Linked DNA regions of Arabidopsis thaliana. The protein of the gene in region 1 interacts with the protein of each later gene in a pairwise test. Each region holds a gene or a part of one and is shown in the gene's direction. Other genes may lie near its edges.

Region 1 (11,596 bases):
GAAAATTGAAATTAATATATATTTTCGTGAATTTTCGATTTTTTCTTCTTTTTTTGAAGCTTTTATTGAACCGAGAATACTGGAGATTGAGAGGGCCGCCGTTAACCAGCGCCGGTGAAGCTCGCCGCCGCTCTCAAGTCTCCGATGTCGTTCTCGGTGATAGAAATAAAAATAAAAATAAAAGAGATTAAAAAGCAAAATTAAATTGGAAAATAAATTGGTCGTTGTAGCGCCTTTTACGATTTTTATACCTAATTATTAAATTACAATTCGGGTCGGGTCGGGTTATTTGATTATTAATTTTGCAATCGGGTCATGATCACATAACAGGCTTATCGTTATCCTCAAGATTTGTCAGTTTGAATAATGAGAAGCTCAAAATCAGAGCTTTAATGGCGATATCTTCAGCTTCACTAATATCATCATTCTCACACGCAGAAACGTTCACTAAGCATTCGAAAATCGACACTGTGAATACACAAAACCCGATTCTTCTGATTTCCAAATGCAATTCTCTAAGAGAGCTGATGCAAATTCAAGCTTACGCGATCAAATCTCATATTGAAGATGTTTCCTTCGTCGCTAAGCTGATAAATTTCTGCACTGAGTCTCCAACGGAGTCTTCAATGTCATATGCACGCCACTTGTTCGAGGCAATGTCTGAACCAGATATTGTCATTTTTAATTCTATGGCTCGTGGGTATTCTCGCTTCACGAATCCTCTTGAGGTTTTTAGTCTCTTCGTTGAGATCTTAGAAGATGGTATTTTACCTGACAACTACACTTTCCCGTCTCTTCTCAAAGCTTGTGCAGTAGCAAAGGCGTTAGAAGAAGGTAGACAATTGCATTGTTTGTCGATGAAACTAGGGCTTGATGATAATGTCTATGTTTGTCCAACGCTTATTAATATGTACACTGAGTGTGAAGATGTGGATTCTGCTCGTTGTGTGTTTGATCGGATTGTTGAGCCGTGTGTTGTTTGTTATAATGCTATGATCACGGGTTATGCGAGAAGAAACAGACCGAACGAGGCTTTATCTTTGTTCCGTGAAATGCAAGGTAAGTACTTGAAGCCGAATGAGATTACCCTTTTGAGTGTTCTGTCATCTTGTGCTCTGTTGGGATCGTTAGATTTAGGGAAATGGATACATAAGTATGCTAAGAAACATAGTTTCTGTAAGTATGTGAAAGTAAACACAGCTTTGATCGATATGTTTGCGAAATGTGGTAGCTTGGATGATGCAGTGTCTATATTCGAAAAAATGAGGTATAAGGATACACAAGCTTGGTCAGCAATGATTGTAGCTTATGCGAATCATGGGAAAGCTGAGAAATCCATGTTGATGTTTGAGAGAATGAGGTCTGAAAATGTTCAGCCTGATGAGATCACATTTCTCGGTCTGTTAAACGCTTGCAGCCACACTGGTCGAGTGGAAGAAGGGAGAAAGTATTTCTCACAGATGGTTAGCAAATTTGGGATTGTTCCGAGTATTAAGCATTATGGTTCTATGGTAGATCTTCTTAGTAGAGCTGGAAATTTAGAAGATGCATATGAATTCATTGATAAGCTCCCAATTAGCCCAACACCAATGCTATGGAGGATTCTTTTAGCTGCTTGTAGCAGCCATAACAATTTGGACCTAGCTGAAAAGGTTAGCGAGAGGATCTTTGAGCTAGATGATTCACACGGTGGCGATTACGTGATTTTATCAAACCTATACGCGAGAAACAAGAAATGGGAATATGTAGATTCTTTAAGAAAGGTGATGAAAGATCGAAAGGCGGTTAAAGTTCCCGGTTGCAGCTCGATTGAGGTAAACAATGTGGTTCATGAGTTTTTCTCAGGGGATGGTGTGAAGTCTGCAACCACAAAGCTTCACAGAGCATTAGATGAAATGGTGAAAGAGCTAAAGCTTTCAGGTTATGTTCCTGATACATCAATGGTAGTTCACGCCAATATGAATGACCAAGAGAAGGAAATTACGCTTAGGTATCACAGCGAAAAGCTTGCGATAACGTTTGGATTATTGAATACTCCTCCGGGAACAACGATTCGGGTTGTGAAGAATCTTAGGGTGTGTAGAGATTGTCACAATGCAGCAAAGTTGATATCTCTTATATTTGGTAGGAAAGTTGTTCTTAGAGATGTTCAAAGGTTTCATCATTTTGAAGATGGAAAATGTTCTTGTGGGGATTTTTGGTGACGTCATCTCCAGACCAACAACATAATTTTCCGTAGCTAAAAATCATATAACTGTGTATTGTTTCTTATAGTTTTATAAATTGATTCAAAATATGATTTAACATGGTAATCGATATGGTGTCACCTGTTCAATAATTTTCATAAGTGTTAGAACTAATAAAATAAAATAAAATAAAATCTAATAAGCTGATTTAACCTCAGACTAGTTACAATGATTTGTTGTAACAAACCATTTTACAACTGGTGAAAAAAATATTTTCACTACATTGATTTGTTGTAATTAAAAGTTAGGTGATATGGCAAATTTAGTGTTGATAAATATCAACATCCCTGAAAGTAGAAGATAGAAAATAAGTGTGACAAGTGTTATATTTTGATTGATTGCTTTGATTTCTATTTTTTTTTGTTTCATTTCAATTATATAACTTCAATTATTTTATAATATTTATACATAAAAATATCAAAATTTATAATTTTCATTCTCTATAAATAGATACTATTTTCATTTGATTTGAATACAAAAAATAAAAAACCGTGTTGGCTATCATCATGAGATCGTGTATCATATTGCATAATATGATTGTTGAGGATGAACGAGAGACATATGCTCAACATTGGACGGATTATGATCAATTTGAGGCAAGTAGGTCGAGTACACAACAACCATTCTCGACCGAAGTGCTACCCGTATTTACAAATCATGTGCGTGCTAGGTCCGAGTTGCGTGATTTAAATGTACATCACGAATTGCAAGCAGATCCAGTCAAACACATACGAGCACAATTCGGAATGTTCCATGGTGAATGAAATTTTTAAGTTTGTGAGTTGAGATTATTGTATTAATTAAATTATTAGTGTTTTCTTACTTGTTGTGTGCTTATTGTATTTTTGCATTTTAAATTTATGTTCATTGTATGTGTTTTAGTAATAATAATTTCTATTTCTCGTTTTTATTATTTATAAAAGTTTTTAAAAATATTATATAAAATAAAAACAAATATTAACACAAAAATAATTTATAAAATTATTTTAATTTAATTTAATATTAACAATGATTAATAATATGTAATCACAAAAACATAAACATAAATAAAATGAAAAAAATGAAATAAAAATGGTGGGGTAAGGTATTGTAATTTTATTAAACAAAACTATTGTAAATATAAAAGGGAGATTTGCAAAACTACCCTTTTTTTACTACCTTTTGCAACAATACCCTTTCGTGTTGTCCATTTTTAAAAATACTCATTTCCTTGACCAGAATGACCAAATTATCCTCATCTAATAGGAACATGTAATTGGAAACTGAAATTTTCCCGCCAATTTTTCTTTCCCCGCCAAAAAAAAAAAATTTCGTCAAACATTTTTCCCGCCAAAAAAAAATATTCTCGCCAAAAATTTTTACAACCAAAAAATTGCTTCTAAAAATCCTTGTAATTTTTTTTTTGCGGGAAATAGATTTACAAGGGATTTTAAAAGGGTTTTAAAAGATTTACAATGGATTTTAAAAGGTTTTAAAAAATTTTACAAGAGTTTTTAAAGAATCTTCTTGTAAACTCTTTAAAAATCTTTTAAAAACCCTTGTACATATCTTAAAACCCTTTTAAAATCTCTTGTAAATCTTTAAAACCCTTTTAAAATCCCTTGTAAATCTTTTAAAACCCTTTTAAAATCCCTTGTAAATCTTTTAACACCCTTTTAAAATCACTTGTAAATATTTTAAAACACTTTTCAAACAATTTTGAACCCTTTAAAAATCTTTATAAAACCTTTGTAAATCTTTTAAAGCCCTTTAAAATCTCTTATAAATCTTTTAAAACCCTTTTAAAATCCCCTGTAAAACTTTTAAAACCCTTTTAAAATCCCTTGTAAATCTTTTTAAACCCTTTTAAAATCCTTGTAAATATTTTAAAATCCCGTGTAATTCTTTTAAAACTCTTTTAAAATCTCGTGTAAATTTGGCGGGAAAAATATTTTTGGAAAAAAAAAATTGGCGGGAAATTGTTTTTTCAAAATTATTTGGTGGGAAATTTATTTTGGAATATTTTAGGCGAAAAATATTAATATTTCATTTTGTTTACCTAAAACAATTTCCAAATAACGGTAAATGGTCATTAAAATTTAAAGAAGGTAAAAATAAAAATGACAAATAGGAAAGAGTAGAATTGAAAAAGGGTAATGTGAAAAGGGTATTCTCAACAATTATTCAAGATAAAAATTGTATAGGTGTTAAATAATAATGTGTAAAAGAGAAGACGATGTGAAGTATTAAAAGAAAAAAAAAATGGATGTTGTATATAAGTAACCATTGTAGATAGTTTAAGCAAGAAAAATTGATGTTGCATTGGAAATTAAAAAATTTCAATAAAATTAGAAAAGCAACTCTAAATCATTACTTATTTTATTATTTTCAAGAAGTTATAAAGTATTAAACAATTCGTTGACAAATAAGTTTGATCGACATTGTGTGACAAATTTAAAACACATCATTAATAACAACGAGGACAAATACAGTTCAGATATCGTCTACTATTAAAACACTTCTTCTATAGGAGCAAAGAAAAATTGTCGGCAACGAACTGGGGACCAATAATATTCCGAGTTTGAGTTCAAACTGAGTAATTTTATTTTGAGAAAATTTGCCAAGTTAACTTATAATTCTGGTTTACGTGTAGTAATTTATTAAGTTGTTATAGGAAAATGAGAAAATACTAAGACACATCCAAGAAAGTTTCACACGAAATTTACTTACAAAAAGATTGTTTATTTAATACTTCCGTATATAGATATATAAATATTTAACACATTAATTATAAAGTTCAAGATAATTGATTATCTATCTTTTTTTGTCATCTGAAATTATTATCGCTCAAACGAAGTAATTCTGAGGAAAGTTGTTTACAAACTAGTTATTTCATTATTGTCTACTTATATAATAGAATTAAAAAAAATTATTGCTTAATGCAATTTAGTTTTAGATAAAATCATTAAACTTAATAGATTATATAAGTTAGATATCAATAATTGGGCTTGCTTAAAAACATAAATATAAAATATTATTGGGCCGTTACGTGCATACAAAACGAACCTTCTAACAAACAAGTGTGAACGTTACGACTTCAAAATTAAAAAAAAACACAACAACTATGTCCACACGTAATCTCATATGATTCAGATTCCAAGGAGAACAAAATTAAAAACAAATCTCGTAAACATACATACACTTCACATAAAACAAAAGGTACAGTATATACCATAAATCTCCGAGATTCTTTTGATGTATCTGTCCATTTCATTATTACACAAACTAGGAAACTGATATCTCTCTATTCACATTCCTCTGATTCTATTTCTCTTTATATATATTCACCCATTAACCATCTCAATCTTATAACCCTCAAAATCACAATCTTCTCTTACAAAAAACTTTGAAAGATGAAGATTCTTCTAGCATCATTGTGTTTGATCAGTCTTCTCGTAATCTTGCCTTCTGTCTTCTCTGCTTCTTCTTCCTCTGAAGATTTTGATTTCTTCTACTTCGTCCAACAAGTAATAAAATCATTCTAAGAATGTTTCTGATGATTTTTTATAATCATCTAATATTGTTTTGTGTTTTATTGTATAGTGGCCAGGATCATACTGTGACACACAGAAGAAGTGTTGTTATCCAAATTCAGGCAAACCAGCTGCTGATTTTGGCATTCATGGTCTTTGGCCTAACTACAAAGATGGAACTTATCCATCTAACTGTGATGCCTCTAAACCATTCGATAGCTCAACGGTAATAAGATCAAACATTTCTGTTTTAAGGTCAAAAATATGGTTTAAGGTAAAAAATATGGAAAGTTTTGTACATAACCGGTTGGTTTGATTTGGTTTGGTACAGATATCAGATCTTCTCACTTCAATGAAGAAGAGCTGGCCAACACTGGCTTGCCCAAGCGGTTCAGGTGAAGCGTTTTGGGAGCACGAATGGGAGAAGCATGGTACTTGCTCTGAATCGGTTATCGATCAACATGAATATTTCCAAACCGCTCTTAACCTTAAACAGAAAACCAATCTCCTTGGAGCTCTAACCAAAGCCGGTACGTTTTGATGTCAAAGTACCTTTTTATTTTCCCGGTTTGGATCTCATTGGTCTAACTATTGGTTTATTATGTAATAGGGATTAATCCGGATGGAAAATCTTACTCTTTGGAGAGCATAAGAGATTCGATAAAAGAGTCAATTGGTTTCACTCCTTGGGTTGAGTGTAACAGAGATGGTTCTGGTAATAGCCAATTGTACCAAGTCTATCTTTGTGTTGACCGGTCTGGTTCCGGTTTAATCGAATGTCCGGTTTTCCCACATGGGAAATGTGGAGCTGAGATCGAATTCCCTTCTTTTTAGTTTCCAATTTCTAAATTCAGTCTCTTGAACCGGCATCGATCTTTTGTTCATGGAGATTGGTTTGGTCAAAAAGAAGATTTAATGTAATAAAAATTTATGGGATATTGGATAATGATATAGTTCAATTTCAATAATATTCTACGTATCCGCATGGTTTAACTCTAAAATATATAGTGAAAATAGTTCAATTTTTCTCTAAAACTAGAAAACAAATCTTTCACAAAAAATTGCTAACACTTTTGTAAATCAGTTTTGATATGATAAATTTATTTTTTATGATAAAGTTAAATATTCAAAAAAAAATCTAGAGCATTAACGAAACTGTAACTCAAAAGTCGAATCTAAACAACAAAAAGAGTATGTCAAAAAAACAATCAACCATAAAGAGTTTAATAACAAGCGCCGAGAAAATCTTATCTATAAGGTTTTCGTTCTCCATAATTTAGAACTCTCGATCTGTTTTATTTCTTCTTAATAACAAGAGATGACGACATACAAAAAAACCTTTGATCTCTTAATATAATCTCTATTTCGTTTTTTTTTGTCCTTTAGGTTTTGAGTTGCAATGTCCTCGGATATGCGTGACGAGCGTTTCTTTTATCATCGATATCTTTCCGTTACAAATAGAACAACTCCAACTACGGCAACAAACTTGCCAACATCGACATCGAACATGCGATCTACGAGTTTGATGACACCAAGGGTTGCACATACTTCAATGTCATCTGGAGGAGATTTTCCCGACGACCGTTTTTTCCATGCTCGTCATCAGTCCGCTACGGATAGAGCAGCTTCAAATAGAAGCAGGGCGATCATGCCCATATCGACAACAAACGTGCCATCATCCACATCAAACTCACCTAGGGTTTTGCAGACCTCAATGTCGAGACGAGGTACCTCGCCAATGTCCTCGTCGACGAGGAGGAGTGTGCAAGCATCCATGTCAGCACGAGAAACCGTACCATCGTCGACATCAACGAGGAGCATGCAAACGTCTACGTCAACCCCGGAAATTATGCCTACATCATCAAGAAATGTGATAACAAGCAGCGAAGAAGTAGCAAATACATTCACTCAAACTTCTTACATACAATTTGGGAGCCTGTGGGAGACGAATACAACTCCTTCAACTAGGAGTTGGCCGACCGTGCCATCATCAAACTCACCTAGAGTTTTGCAGACGTCAATGTCGAGACGAGGTACCTCCCCAATGTCCTCGTCGACGAGGAGGAATGTGCAATCATCCATGTCAGGACGAGAAACCGTATCATCGTCGACATCAACGAGTAGCATGCAAACGTCAATGTCAACACCGGAAATTATGCCTACATCATCAAGAAATGTGATAACAAGGAGCGAAGAAGTAGCAAATACATTCAGTACTCAAACTCCTTACATACAATTTGGGAGGCTGTGGGAGACGAATACAACTTCTTCAACTAGGAGTAGGACTACCGTGCCCACATCGACCACAAACGTGCCTTCATCAAACTCATCTAGGGTTTTGCAGACGTCAATGTCGACACGAGGTACCTTCCCAATGTCCTCGTCGACCAGGATGAGTGTGCAAGCGTCAATGTTGGCACCAGGAACCGTATCATCGTCAATGTCAACAGTAGAGATTATGCCTACATCGGCAAGAAATATGATAACAATGAGTGAAGAAGTAGCAAATTCATTCACTCAAACTTCTTACATACAATTTGGGAGCTTGTGGGAGACGTTTAAAACTGTAACAAAGTTGTCGCGTGTAGCGATGGTGGAGAATGGAGAGTGTGTGATATGTCTGGAGGAATGGCGCAAAGGTGATATGGAGACGGAGCTACCATGTAAACACAAGTATCACTTGGAATGTGTGAAGAAGTGGTTGAAGATTCACGCCACGTGTCCTCAGTGTAGATACAAAATGCCTCTTGAAGCTGAAGACTAGTGATTATGATTTCTGAATCTTCTGACTCAGCATGAGGGTTTTGACGTCAACTTTTGTTTTTTTAGGAGAAGGTAATGAATTCAATTGGAATCATGTTTTGTAGAAGCATGATTAGGATCTATTGTTGAATTCGTATGTGAAGATCATATTCCCTTCGAATTTTGTCAATATTGGTTTACATTACCAAAATTAAAAATTTGAAACATAACCAGTTGGTAAAGTATGATCACTTCATCGATCAGAAACGTACGTAACATCATCGACATCGAACATGCGGACATCGAGTTTGATGACACTAACGAGGTTCATCGATGAGCAAATATCTTTACGAGCAACCGTTTCGTCGACGAGGACGACCGCACGGTTGTTGACTAATGAATCGCCGGCAACGATACGGGCGGTAGCGATGTTACCACGTGTAGCGATGGTGGAGAAAGGAGAGTGTGTGATATGTTTCGAGGAATGGAGCAAAAGTGATATGGAAACAGAGCTGCCATGTAAACACAAGTATCACTTGGAGTGTGTGGAGAAGTGGTTGAAGATTCACACCTCGTGTCCTCAATGTAGATACAAGCTTTCTTGTGTATATAAAAGCTTTTTGATGTTGTGATTTGAGAGATTACAAATTTATAATTGCAAAAGTTGTGTAATTGGAAATGTTTTGTTGCTTTCAAGGTTACATCAGAAGAAAGAGGCTTATTGACTTGGTTATCACAATCACCTAAAATTACTCTACTGGTTTGAATTATCCATCCACTTGTGTTGATTGATTTGAATCTTCCTCATTGGTTGTGTTATCCCTCTGTGCTTCATTAAAGACTTGAGTACTATATGATTCCACTATATTCACCTATTCAATAAGCCCCTTTATGATGTAACCCAAATTTTTCTTTTTGTCTCAATATCGTTTCTACTATATGACTTGAGTACTACTTGTAAATTTTTCTTTTTTGGTAGGCCCTGGTAAAGAATGTCACTCACAATTTATTCATAAACTAAAAGAAAAAATATCATATGTGAATGCTTCTCGGTCTCGTGGACCCACGCGTATCATTTACAAAGAGCAAAGTAACAATATCTGGAACATAAGTAGAAGAATGAAATCTTGGCGACAAACTAAACGCATAATTAGCTAACCCATATGCTAGATAGTTAATTAGCTTCTCGATATACGTGAAAAAAATGAACTATCCAGTCTCTCGAAAGAAAGTCATGACACAAGCATACCAGAAAAACATTGAATTATACTCGCTTATTCCTGTCTTAATTGTTATTTTATCATATTCTTTCAACAGATATAAGACGAAATTCTAAAAACCAATTGTTAAATTGACCAACACAAAAGAGCTTTAGTAATAGTAGAGACAAAGTGAATATATTAGTTTTTTGCATGAAAAAAAAAAGAAAAAGAAAAAGAAAGTTAAAAAAATAAACATTGGGGAAAGAAAAATATTCGTTTAGGTTGAGGCATGGCGATATGAAGACGATTTGACCGGGAGGCTTGTGATTGGTGGATTTTTTTCCTACTGTCCGATTTCTTTCTTCCTGTAGGTATGTCTATTTCGTTCGTGTTGGTCCACCGGATTCCCAGAAACAAGAGTAGCTATCAAACTGTCATGATGATGCTAAATGTGGGGAAATATTTCCAATTTAGTGGAGCAAAAGTCAATATTAAAATGCTAACAAGAGAAACAGTGAGAAGCAAGATTTTGATTCACATGAGGCTACCAAGAGACCATGGTACAAATAGTCATAGTCTTGGCTGAAAAAGTATCTATATATACATTTTTAATAAAGTTTTTGGTTGAAAAATCTCTCAAATATTTACTATTTTCAATATTAATCCTAACAAAATCTATTTGACAAAATATTGTCTTTAAAAAAATTTACAAATCGACTTTATCAACTAACAATTTATAATTAATTATTTGTCTTAATCTTGCACATATTAATTACGTATTATTTGAGAAAATCTAAACAATTAGAAAAGATCTATACTAACCATATATATGTTGTTCTTTGATCACAATATTCATTTACTTGATTCTAAAGCAAATTAGTTATTGACTTTTCCGATTTTGTTGCTAAATTCTCGATTTTATGATACAAATTTATCTAATCACAACTAATTAATACTAAATATTATTGTTTTAATATTAACCATTCATTTTATTTGTATGTAATTAAAAGCTAATCAAAGGCATATTCTCTCTTTTATTCAATTATATCCTATACGATTTTCATATATTTCTTAAACAAAATAGCATATTCGAATCATTAAATTATTTTCCCAAAATAAGATTATGTTAATCATGCATTAATTTTCGGAATTGAGAAAATTGCTTGCTCACAAAGCTATTTTTTTATTCGAAATCAAAACTAACCCTAATTGTGTATGAGCTCTATCTATATCCTCACTAGCAAACAAATATCACACCTTCATTGTGTCTTATGATAACCTTTATAACCTCTCATTAGCAAAGCCAACAAAAACTCAATTGGGTGATACATTGCTAAGAGAGAAACCAAACCTCAATTAAAGTCATAAGGTATAATAATGTAGATGAAGACAAATATAGATTAGGATATGGTGTTGCTGGTAAAGGTGTGAAGCGTCTTTGCCTCCTTGGTACCTTGAGAAATGTAATGATGGAGATGATAGTGTTCGCGGTGAGGATGATGATGGTGGATATAGAGGTGATGAAGCTGAGTGGGAAGAACAGTTATTTGCCTATAATTCTAAAAGTATACGACAGCCATTTTGAATGATTTCAACTAAACATACGGTTAGTTCCGGTTTATATTCATCTTTGAATCTTATGTTGAAAGCGAGAGAGATTCTTGTTAGTGAAAGCCATGAAGAAGTAGCGATGATCATCGATCATCTCTTTAAGCGTCAAGACTCCGAAGAGTATAAAACATCGCGTGCGCTTTACGACATCTGCGTTTCTTGTAACCCAGGTTGCTTAACCCTAAAGCTTCTTAAAGTCTATCAATCTTCTTCCAATGGCATTCTCAGACTCCGATCAATCTCTCAACTCTCTGAGACCCTCACCTATCTGAAAAATCAAATC
Region 2 (10,045 bases), on another chromosome or scaffold:
TTTATGGTTAAGAGTTTTTTACTCTCTTTATTTTTCTTTTTCTTTTTGAGACATACTGAAAAAAGTTGTAATTATTAATGATAGTTCTGTGATTCCTCCATGAATCACATCTGCTTGATTTTTCTTTCATAAATTTATAAGTAATACATTCTTATAAAATGGTCAGAGAAACACCAAAGATCCCGAGATTTCTTCTCACTTACTTTTTTTCTATCTATCTAGATTATATAAATGAGATGTTGAATTAGAGGAACCTTTGATTCAATGATCATAGAAAAATTAGGTAAAGAGTCAGTGTCGTTATGTTATGGAAGATGTGAATGAAGTTTGACTTCTCATTGTATATGAGTAAAATCTTTTCTTACAAGGGAAGTCCCCAATTGGTCAACATGTGAAAGCACGTGTCATGTTCTTACTTTTGTTTGGGTAATCTTCTAATTACTGTATATGGAAGATGTGAATGAAGTTTTGGTCCTGAATGTGGCCAAGGTTCCGTCATTTGGAGATACGAAATCAAATCTCCTTTAAGATTTTGTTTTTATAATGTGTTCTTCCATCCACATCTATCTCCATATGATATGGACCATATCATACATCATCATTTGTCCAAATGCATGAATGAATTTGGAAATAGGTACGAGAATGCCAACAATGACAAGAAGGGATCAAAGACAGTTTTTAAAACAATATTTTACAGGGTTTTAATCTAATTCTAAGTTTTGGTCACTCACTTTGTTAAAAGAATAATTCAGTGTCTGGACACTAAAATCTTCCAAAAACCCCATATACATATATGCTATTTCGATACTTATATTTATTTACTCAGCATAAAAAATATTAACCATGTATTCATAGTAAAATGTTTCATGTGATATCAAACCAGCGACAACAAAAGTATTATTCCCCTCATTATGTTTGACTCCTATTATATTTTTATTTTAATTTTTTTCACTATCATCTTTCTTGCAATGAAAGTCCCATATATTGGTCAACATTTCAAACCACTTGTTCTCTTTTATGTTTTGGTAAGAGCTATCTTCTAAATTTATAATACGCATAAATTCAAAAGTAAAAGAAAATTTTGGTCATGAATGTTGTTTAAGTCATTTGGAGATACGAAATCAAATCTCCTTGTAGATTTTGTTTTTAGAATGTCGTTCCTTTTTCATCATCTTAGCTATATCTACAGCTATATATCCTATCTTTAAACCTATATTATTTTTTCCTCTCTTCACCAAAGCCATGTTTTTTAGTTGTGGCGAAAAATAAGAAATCCATACATCAACATATCGCTTTCGTTACCTTAAATTTTGGCTTGTTATGAAGGCATGTCATAACGTTTCTAGTCACAACTCACAAGCATACCAACGACCATGATAAATCCAAAAAGTAGAAACAATCTATTATCTAAACCCCCAAAAGACAAAAGAAAAAAGTAGAAAGAAAAGGTAGGCAGAGATATAATGCTGGTTTTATTTGTTTGTTAAAAGATATTGCTATTTCTGCCAATATTAAAACTTCACTTAGGAAGACTTGAACCTACCACACGTTAGTGACTAATGAGAGCCACTAGATAATTGCATGCATCCCACACTAGTACTAATTTTCTAGGGATATTAGAGTTTTCTAATCACCTACTTCCTACTATGTGTATGTTATCTACTGGCGTGGATGCTTTTAAAGATGTTACGTTATTATTTTGTTCGGTTTGGAAAACGGCTCAATCGTTATGAGTTCGTAAGACACATACATTGTTCCATGATAAAATGCAACCCCACGAACCATTTGCGACAAGCAAAACAACATGGTCAAAATTAAAAGCTAACAATTAGCCAGCGATTCAAAAAGTCAACCTTCTAGATGGATTTAACAACATATCGATAGGATTCAAGATTAAAAATAAGCACACTCTTATTAATGTTAAAAAACGAATGAGATGAAAATATTTGGCGTGTTCACACACATAATCTAGAAGACAGATTCGAGTTGCTCTCCTTTGTTTTGCTTTGGGAGGGACCCATTATTACCGCCCAGCAGCTTCCCAGCCTTCCTTTATAAGGCTTAATTTATATTTATTTAAATTTTATATGTTCTTCTATTATAATACTAAAAGGGGAATACAAATTTCTACAGAGGATGATATTCAATCCACGGTTCACCCAAACCGATTTTATAAAATTTATTATTAAATCTTTTTTAATTGTTAAATTGGTTTAAATCTGAACTCTGTTTACTTACATTGATTAAAATTCTAAACCATCATAAGTAAAAAATAATATGATTAAGACTAATAAATCTTAATAGTTAATACTACTCGGTTTACTACATGAAATTTCATACCATCAATTGTTTTAATAATCTTTAAAATTGTTAGGACCGGTAAAACCATACCAATTAAACCGGAGATCCATATTAATTTAATTAAGAAAATAAAAATAAAAGGAATAAATTGTCTTATTTAAACGCTGACTTCACTGTCTTCCTCCCTCCAAATTATTAGATATACCAAACCAGAGAAAACAAATACATAATCGGAGAAATACAGATTACAGAGAGCGAGAGAGATCGACGGCGAAGCTCTTTACCCGGAAACCATTGAAATCGGACGGTTTAGTGAAAATGGAGGATCAAGTTGGGTTTGGGTTCCGTCCGAACGACGAGGAGCTCGTTGGTCACTATCTCCGTAACAAAATCGAAGGAAACACTAGCCGCGACGTTGAAGTAGCCATCAGCGAGGTCAACATCTGTAGCTACGATCCTTGGAACTTGCGCTGTAAGTTCCGAATTTTCTGAATTTCATTTGCAAGTAATCGATTTAGGTTTTTGATTTTAGGGTTTTTTTTTGTTTTGAACAGTCCAGTCAAAGTACAAATCGAGAGATGCTATGTGGTACTTCTTCTCTCGTAGAGAAAACAACAAAGGGAATCGACAGAGCAGGACAACGGTTTCTGGTAAATGGAAGCTTACCGGAGAATCTGTTGAGGTCAAGGACCAGTGGGGATTTTGTAGTGAGGGCTTTCGTGGTAAGATTGGTCATAAAAGGGTTTTGGTGTTCCTCGATGGAAGATACCCTGACAAAACCAAATCTGATTGGGTTATCCACGAGTTCCACTACGACCTCTTACCAGAACATCAGGTTTTCTTCTATTCATATATATATATATATATATATGTGGATATATATATATGTGGTTTCTGCTGATTCATAGTTAGAATTTGAGTTATGCAAATTAGAAACTATGTAATGTAACTCTATTTAGGTTCAGCAGCTATTTTAGGCTTAGCTTACTCTCACCAATGTTTTATACTGATGAACTTATGTGCTTACCTCCGGAAATTTTACAGAGGACATATGTCATCTGCAGACTTGAGTACAAGGGTGATGATGCGGACATTCTATCTGCTTATGCAATAGATCCCACTCCCGCTTTTGTCCCCAATATGACTAGTAGTGCAGGTTCTGTGGTGAGTCTTTCTCCATATACACTTAGCTTTGAGTAGGCAGATCAAAAAAGAGCTTGTGTCTACTGATTTGATGTTTTCCTAAACTGTTGATTCGTTTCAGGTCAACCAATCACGTCAACGAAATTCAGGATCTTACAACACTTACTCTGAGTATGATTCAGCAAATCATGGCCAGCAGTTTAATGAAAACTCTAACATTATGCAGCAGCAACCACTTCAAGGATCATTCAACCCTCTCCTTGAGTATGATTTTGCAAATCACGGCGGTCAGTGGCTGAGTGACTATATCGACCTGCAACAGCAAGTTCCTTACTTGGCACCTTATGAAAATGAGTCGGAGATGATTTGGAAGCATGTGATTGAAGAAAATTTTGAGTTTTTGGTAGATGAAAGGACATCTATGCAACAGCATTACAGTGATCACCGGCCCAAAAAACCTGTGTCTGGGGTTTTGCCTGATGATAGCAGTGATACTGAAACTGGATCAATGGTAAGCTTTTTTTACTCATATATAATCACAACCTATATCGCTTCTATATCTCACACGCTGAATTTTGGCTTTTAACAGATTTTCGAAGACACTTCGAGCTCCACTGATAGTGTTGGTAGTTCAGATGAACCGGGCCATACTCGTATAGATGATATTCCATCATTGAACATTATTGAGCCTTTGCACAATTATAAGGCACAAGAGCAACCAAAGCAGCAGAGCAAAGAAAAGGTTTAACACTCTCACTGAGAAACATGACTTTGATACGAAATCTGAATCAACATTTCATCAAAAAGATTTAGTCAAATGACCTCTAAATTATGAGCTATGGGTCTGCTTTCAGGTGATAAGTTCGCAGAAAAGCGAATGCGAGTGGAAAATGGCTGAAGACTCGATCAAGATACCTCCATCCACCAACACGGTGAAGCAGAGCTGGATTGTTTTGGAGAATGCACAGTGGAACTATCTCAAGAACATGATCATTGGTGTCTTGTTGTTCATCTCCGTCATTAGTTGGATCATTCTTGTTGGTTAAGAGGTCAAATCGGATTCTTGCTCAAAATTTGTATTTCTTAGAATGTGTGTTTTTTTTTGTTTTTTTTTCTTTGCTCTGTTTTCTCGCTCCGGAAAAGTTTGAAGTTATATTTTATTAGTATGTAAAGAAGAGAAAAAGGGGGAAAGAAGAGAGAAGAAAAATGCAGAAAATCATATATATGAATTGGAAAAAAGTATATGTAATAATAATTAGTGCATCGTTTTGTGGTGTAGTTTATATAAATAAAGTGATATATAGTCTTGTATAAGAAAGGGATTTTACATGAGACCCAAATATGAGTAAAGGGTGTTGGCTCAAAGATTCATTTAGCAACCAAAGTTGCATTTGCAAGGAAATGAAAAGGTGTTAACAATGTCACTGCGTAACATGACTTCGATACAAAATCTCAAACAATACATCTTCAACTGTGGATTATGATGGACTTGGGGTTGCAGGTGATATGTCTATAGAAAAACGGGTGGGAATGGAAAATGGCTGAAGAAGAAAGCTCCAACTAAGCATCATAACTGGATTGTTTTAGAGGAGATGAGTCAAAGGAATTCACAGTGGAACTATCTCAAGAACATGATCATTGGCTTCTTATTGTTCATCTCCATCATTGGCTGGATCATTCTGGTTCAAGAGGTCAAATTATATATACATAACGGATCTAAGAAGTATAGTGTAGTCAATTAAAACAAAACGAGACTTGAAAATAAGCATAAGTATTATTAAGTTAACCCAATATTCGTTTCAATGCTTTAGTTATCATCAGAATTCTCAACATTTTCAGATATTTAACTTGCCTTTGGTTGCTTTCTCGCCATGGTAGTAGCATTCTCCGGATAAGAATCAAGGGGAGCCTCAACTTCGGCTTCAACCGTCTCCTCGTCTTTCCTATGACATTCACTTGGTGTTGCAACAATGTGTTGATGCCCCACATTCATAGGAGAGTCCCACATATCTCCAACATTCATAGGAGGGTTCCACATATGCCCACCATTCCAAGGAGGGTACCACCACATATGCCCAGCATTCCAAGAAAGATGGAGCGACGATATCGTGAGGAACAAGGTTTTTGTAGGGCAAATAATTGTAGGTGGTTGAGTTATATCCGCCCGCACAGAGTAACAGACCAACAATTAACTTTTGATATTTTAGTAAGGTCTAATTCAATTTTTGGTGGCGATAATATTTGGCTTAGTCATAAAATACAGTATGGTATAATAATGTAAAGGTTTCTCTTATCTTCAAACCAAAAGACTATACTGGAAGCTGATGGGATCATACGATTCTGAAAAAATAAGACATATATTGCAACAGAGATCCAATTTGTATCAAAAATATTGTCGGCTCAAAAATCTGACCCACCAAGAATCTAATCAAGTGCGCGATTAAGCATACGGCTATGCATCTGGTCATTGTTGATTCAGTCATCACTGGTTTAAAGACAAACTTGCATTGTGAGATTCCAAAATAACAACAACAAAAAACAATTTGCATTGAGAACATTTTGAAGGTCTGACCTTTAAGAGCCATGGAGTTTGATGTTAAGAGAAGTATATCGACAAAAAAAATCACTGACATTGGGAATTCCCATACCTGTAATAACAAAGATTCTCTATTTTTGAGCAAAGAGACATAACACCATGTTTAATCAATACAAGAAACTTTAGTGCATGATTTATGGAATGCTTAAGAAGTTTGGAACTTCAATATTAGGAATTAAGTGAGAGGTAAAGCTACAACATACCAACATCGCAAGCAGAAATATCTTGAAGTAACTAGAGATGAATATCCCCAACATAATCTCTCTTCTTCTGCAAAGTTTTTAAAAAAAATTATACATAAACAATCTTCAGGTGACAGAAGTCTGAGATCTTTGATGAAAAACTCATAATAAGAACTAAGAAGAAGAAGAATCAGTAATCACCTGGAAACTTCATTTAGCAAACCCTTAGTCGCAATGGCAAAAGAGATGATAAATGCAGCGTTTGCAGATAAGACACCAATCAGAACCTGTTTCAAATGCGAAATTATTACCCTTTCTAAACAATCTCAATGACTTAAATCATTTAAACCTTAAAGGAAAAAAAATCTAATTAAGTCCATTAAAAAGAAACGATCTAACCTTTATAGATAGAAGAACAGGGCTATCAGAAAAGCTCGATTCTTCATCACTTTTTCTCAGTAGCAAGCTTCTATCTATGATGAGTTCAGGGCTTTTCAAATAAGTTTGCCGATGAATCTCACCAACTACACATCTGCTAGCTACACTTTGATAGTAAAAGATTATAAAACAAAAGGATACAACAGTCTAGAAGAAGATAGGCGAAGACCAACTTCCACAACAGATGCTGCACACACACACACAAAAAAAAAAAAAGAACCCAACAATTCTTATTGGATCAGAGACTACTCAATATCCCCAAACTTGGAAATTAGTTTGTTGCTTGAGGTCTAAGATACTTCTATATATGGAAAAAGATTTTCAAAGCCAGATATTTCCACAAGTTTGTAATATCAATTCAAGATAAGAGAGCTAGAATCAGACAGGAACTAGCAATGCTTGAAATCAAGAACTTGAATTGAAATAGTTTTTTACCTGAATATTGACAGTTGCTGGATTAATTGCATTGTAGAGGACGTGTCTATATACCTTTGGTCTGTGAAGGATTAAATCGATGAAAATAATCTGCCAAAGAAAACAATTAAAGAACCAAAAACCAAAATTGGAAAGAAATAGGGAAACACCCAAAAAGGGAAAGAAAGTGATTAAAACAGACCATGCGTTCACACTCGATGTACTCATCTGCTACTTCCTTGCAATTTCCCTAAATATAACAATATGATCAAAGATGGAAACTTTGAAGAAATTTAATAGAGAATCTTATAAACCCTAATTGGGTCAAAGAAGATCCATTAATACAAAAATCTTACGCATTTCATGAGACGAATGTTACCCGGAGAGTATTGAATGAACAATGACTTTACCCTAAAACCACATCCCACGCATCTGTGTTCACTCGCCGCCATTGCTCTCTCTCTCTCTCTCTCTCTCTCTCTCTCAAGAGAAGAAGAATACGGAGCAATTAGAGTCCGGGTCTGGGCTACTGTTTTAACCCTAAATGGGCTTATTCATGGGCCAAGTTTTTGAAGTCTTAACTTTAAATTTGTTAGGCCCACTTTTGCTCTAAGCCGGGGTATTTGTACCCCAAAATTTAAAAATCATATACACGTTGTAATTTATAAATAGTTCAATTTGGATCAAAATCTTGTCCATATGACATAGCATTTTAAAATGCGTAGGTTCATGAATGAAACATATTATAGGCCTCAGATAAAGATATACATATTAAGTCTAAATTATTTAGTCTTCAGAATTTACCACACTTACTGAAAAGTCTAGTGGTTCACTAATATTATTACTGTCGTGTTACTTTCTATATATAGTTCATGACTTGTGAGTTGTGATGGATAAGTTTATAAGAAAATAAATTATTTATTACAATTCAACAGTGAAGAAATTTATTTAGTTTGATTAAATAAGAAAGGTAAATAAATCTTCGTTTGCCACACCAAACAAAAAAAACTCCTTTTGTTGCATGTAATTAGCATATGGCTACAAAATGAAAGATTTGACAATGAGGTTTAGATAAAATAGTTTCCTTTCAATATAAGTAAACTCAACATAAAAATGAAACGGTAAGTTAAAAGTTTAATATTTGATTATTACTTTATTTAGAAATGTATTAGAAAGGGAAAGAACCCATTAACCCCCAATACGAAGTTTCCTTATCATCATTAATCATGCCTATGAAAACCCTAACCGGCCTACATATTTGCAGTCTCTTTTAGGTCAGGAATCTAATGAGAATGAATTATTTTATTTTATTTAACAATAATTGGAGCATGTCATTAATTCTCTTTATTCTTCTTACACAACTAATCATTTAGATGTGTTACAATATTATTTCCTTTAGTCATTTTCATAATTTTAATACCTCCGTACTTTTCACTAATACCTCCCCTTTTAATTTTCATTATTTCTTCTTTTCTATCAGTCTATGCATGCATTCTTTTGAATATTAAAATGCATTTTATATTCTTTTGACAACTATGCACAAGCCTTTTGAGACACATCTACACAATATAATAGCACAAGCCTTTATGAGACATATCTACACAATATCATTGCTACTTGTAGACTATTTGGAATACGTATTTACATATTCCATTGTATCATCCCTTTGCAAATGTTTTATACATATAACTAACATATACATTATTCGTAACTTTGTTCCCCTATATCGAAAAATGTGGGCTACACATATAACTAACATATATATATATATGTATGTTTATATGATATAGTCTCCATGTCTATATATCTTATATATTACATGTTTCATGTTTACGGTCAAGGGAGTATTTTTATACGCATACACAATCATACACACTTAACCCTACTTATAATGATGTAGGTTCATATATTTATCTTATTTTAGGATCATTCGATCACAAATTATACGGACCCTCATACTCTCTAAAGATATACAAAATCCGCTATGTCATATCCGATCCGAATTAGCAGCTAAAGAAAAACAAACACATGCATCTACTGAAGATTTGAGTCTCGAGTGCTTAGTTACATGAACTATCACAAAGGATATGGATAATATAAGGTGTACTGAAGTATGTCTATGCAATGGGAGGGAAATACATTCTGTTAAATGACTTGTCGATTTGATCTTTCATGCCAAAGATTAAAAATTTAACACTTAATTAACGCAATCTTACCATATATTCATGGACTACATGCAGAATAGTAATTCTCCCAACCTTTCTAGTTATTTACCTGAATGTGTTTATGTACATGGACCGGTAACCTCATGTATATATGCACATACTGACAATCTGACATACATATATATAGTAGATATGACAACAACAACAAAAAAAAAAAAAATTCCTTGTTCGTGAAGCATGATCTGAGAGTTCCTAGTTAGCATGTTGTGTGGGATCATACTTTTAATATGCTGCAAGTACCAGTCAATTTTAGTATGGGAAACTATAAACATGTATAATCAACCAATGAACACGTCAATAACCTATTGAACAGCTTAGGGTGAAAATTATGATCCGTAGAGACAGCATTTAAAAGTTCCTTACGTCCACGTAAAATAATATATCAATTTATACATATACATGTGTAAACTGTGTATATATAGGGTAGGTATATGTGTATATATATAGTAATTGACAAATGATTTAGGTTCTAACATATATTCTAAAAGTACTCATGAGTTTGTGAGATCTACACAAGATACCTGATTTGATAAAAATGGCTTCAACTTGCAATCCAAACCAAACCAAACAAAGTTAATAACCAAGGGTTAATAACAAAAACAAGAATCTAGAATTAGTAAAAAAATGAGAAATTAATGAACCTGTGATCATAAAAAAAGTCAAACAATGTGAAAACATATCATACCTTTTGTTCTTTTTAATATAATAATTGAATTACTAAATGGATGGATCAGTCCTTCTTCCAT

Evidence for each region. Proteins that work in one complex are often made in the same cells at the same time.
Region 2: the proteins of RNS1 (region 1) and NAC001 interact in a two-hybrid assay, tested with the Arabidopsis thaliana proteins (one large-scale study listed by BioGRID).

Annotation. Positions count from the first base shown.
Region 1 is NC_003071.7:868,076-879,671, forward strand, and holds RNS1 (ribonuclease 1), read left to right. Parts: upstream 1-5,430; 5' UTR 5,431-5,638; coding exon 5,639-5,752; intron 5,753-5,828; coding exon 5,829-5,984; intron 5,985-6,089; coding exon 6,090-6,288; intron 6,289-6,368; coding exon 6,369-6,592; 3' UTR 6,593-6,811; downstream 6,812-11,596. Other genes in the region: OTP85 (Pentatricopeptide repeat (PPR) superfamily protein), read left to right, coding at 393-2,204; AT2G03000 (RING/U-box superfamily protein), read left to right, coding at 7,158-8,397, 8,765-9,132; AT2G03010 (hypothetical protein (DUF577)), read left to right, coding at 11,172-11,244, 11,352-11,483. UniProt on the Arabidopsis thaliana protein: May remobilize phosphate, particularly when cells senesce or when phosphate becomes limiting.
Region 2 is NC_003070.9:1,141-11,185, forward strand, and holds NAC001 (NAC domain containing protein 1), read left to right. Parts: upstream 1-2,490; 5' UTR 2,491-2,619; coding exon 2,620-2,773; intron 2,774-2,855; coding exon 2,856-3,136; intron 3,137-3,345; coding exon 3,346-3,465; intron 3,466-3,565; coding exon 3,566-3,955; intron 3,956-4,033; coding exon 4,034-4,186; intron 4,187-4,298; coding exon 4,299-4,490; 3' UTR 4,491-4,759; downstream 4,760-10,045. Other genes in the region: ARV1 family protein, read right to left, coding at 5,775-5,929, 6,017-6,092, 6,244-6,310, 6,424-6,509, 6,622-6,695, 6,802-6,847, 7,096-7,185, 7,277-7,324 and 1 more.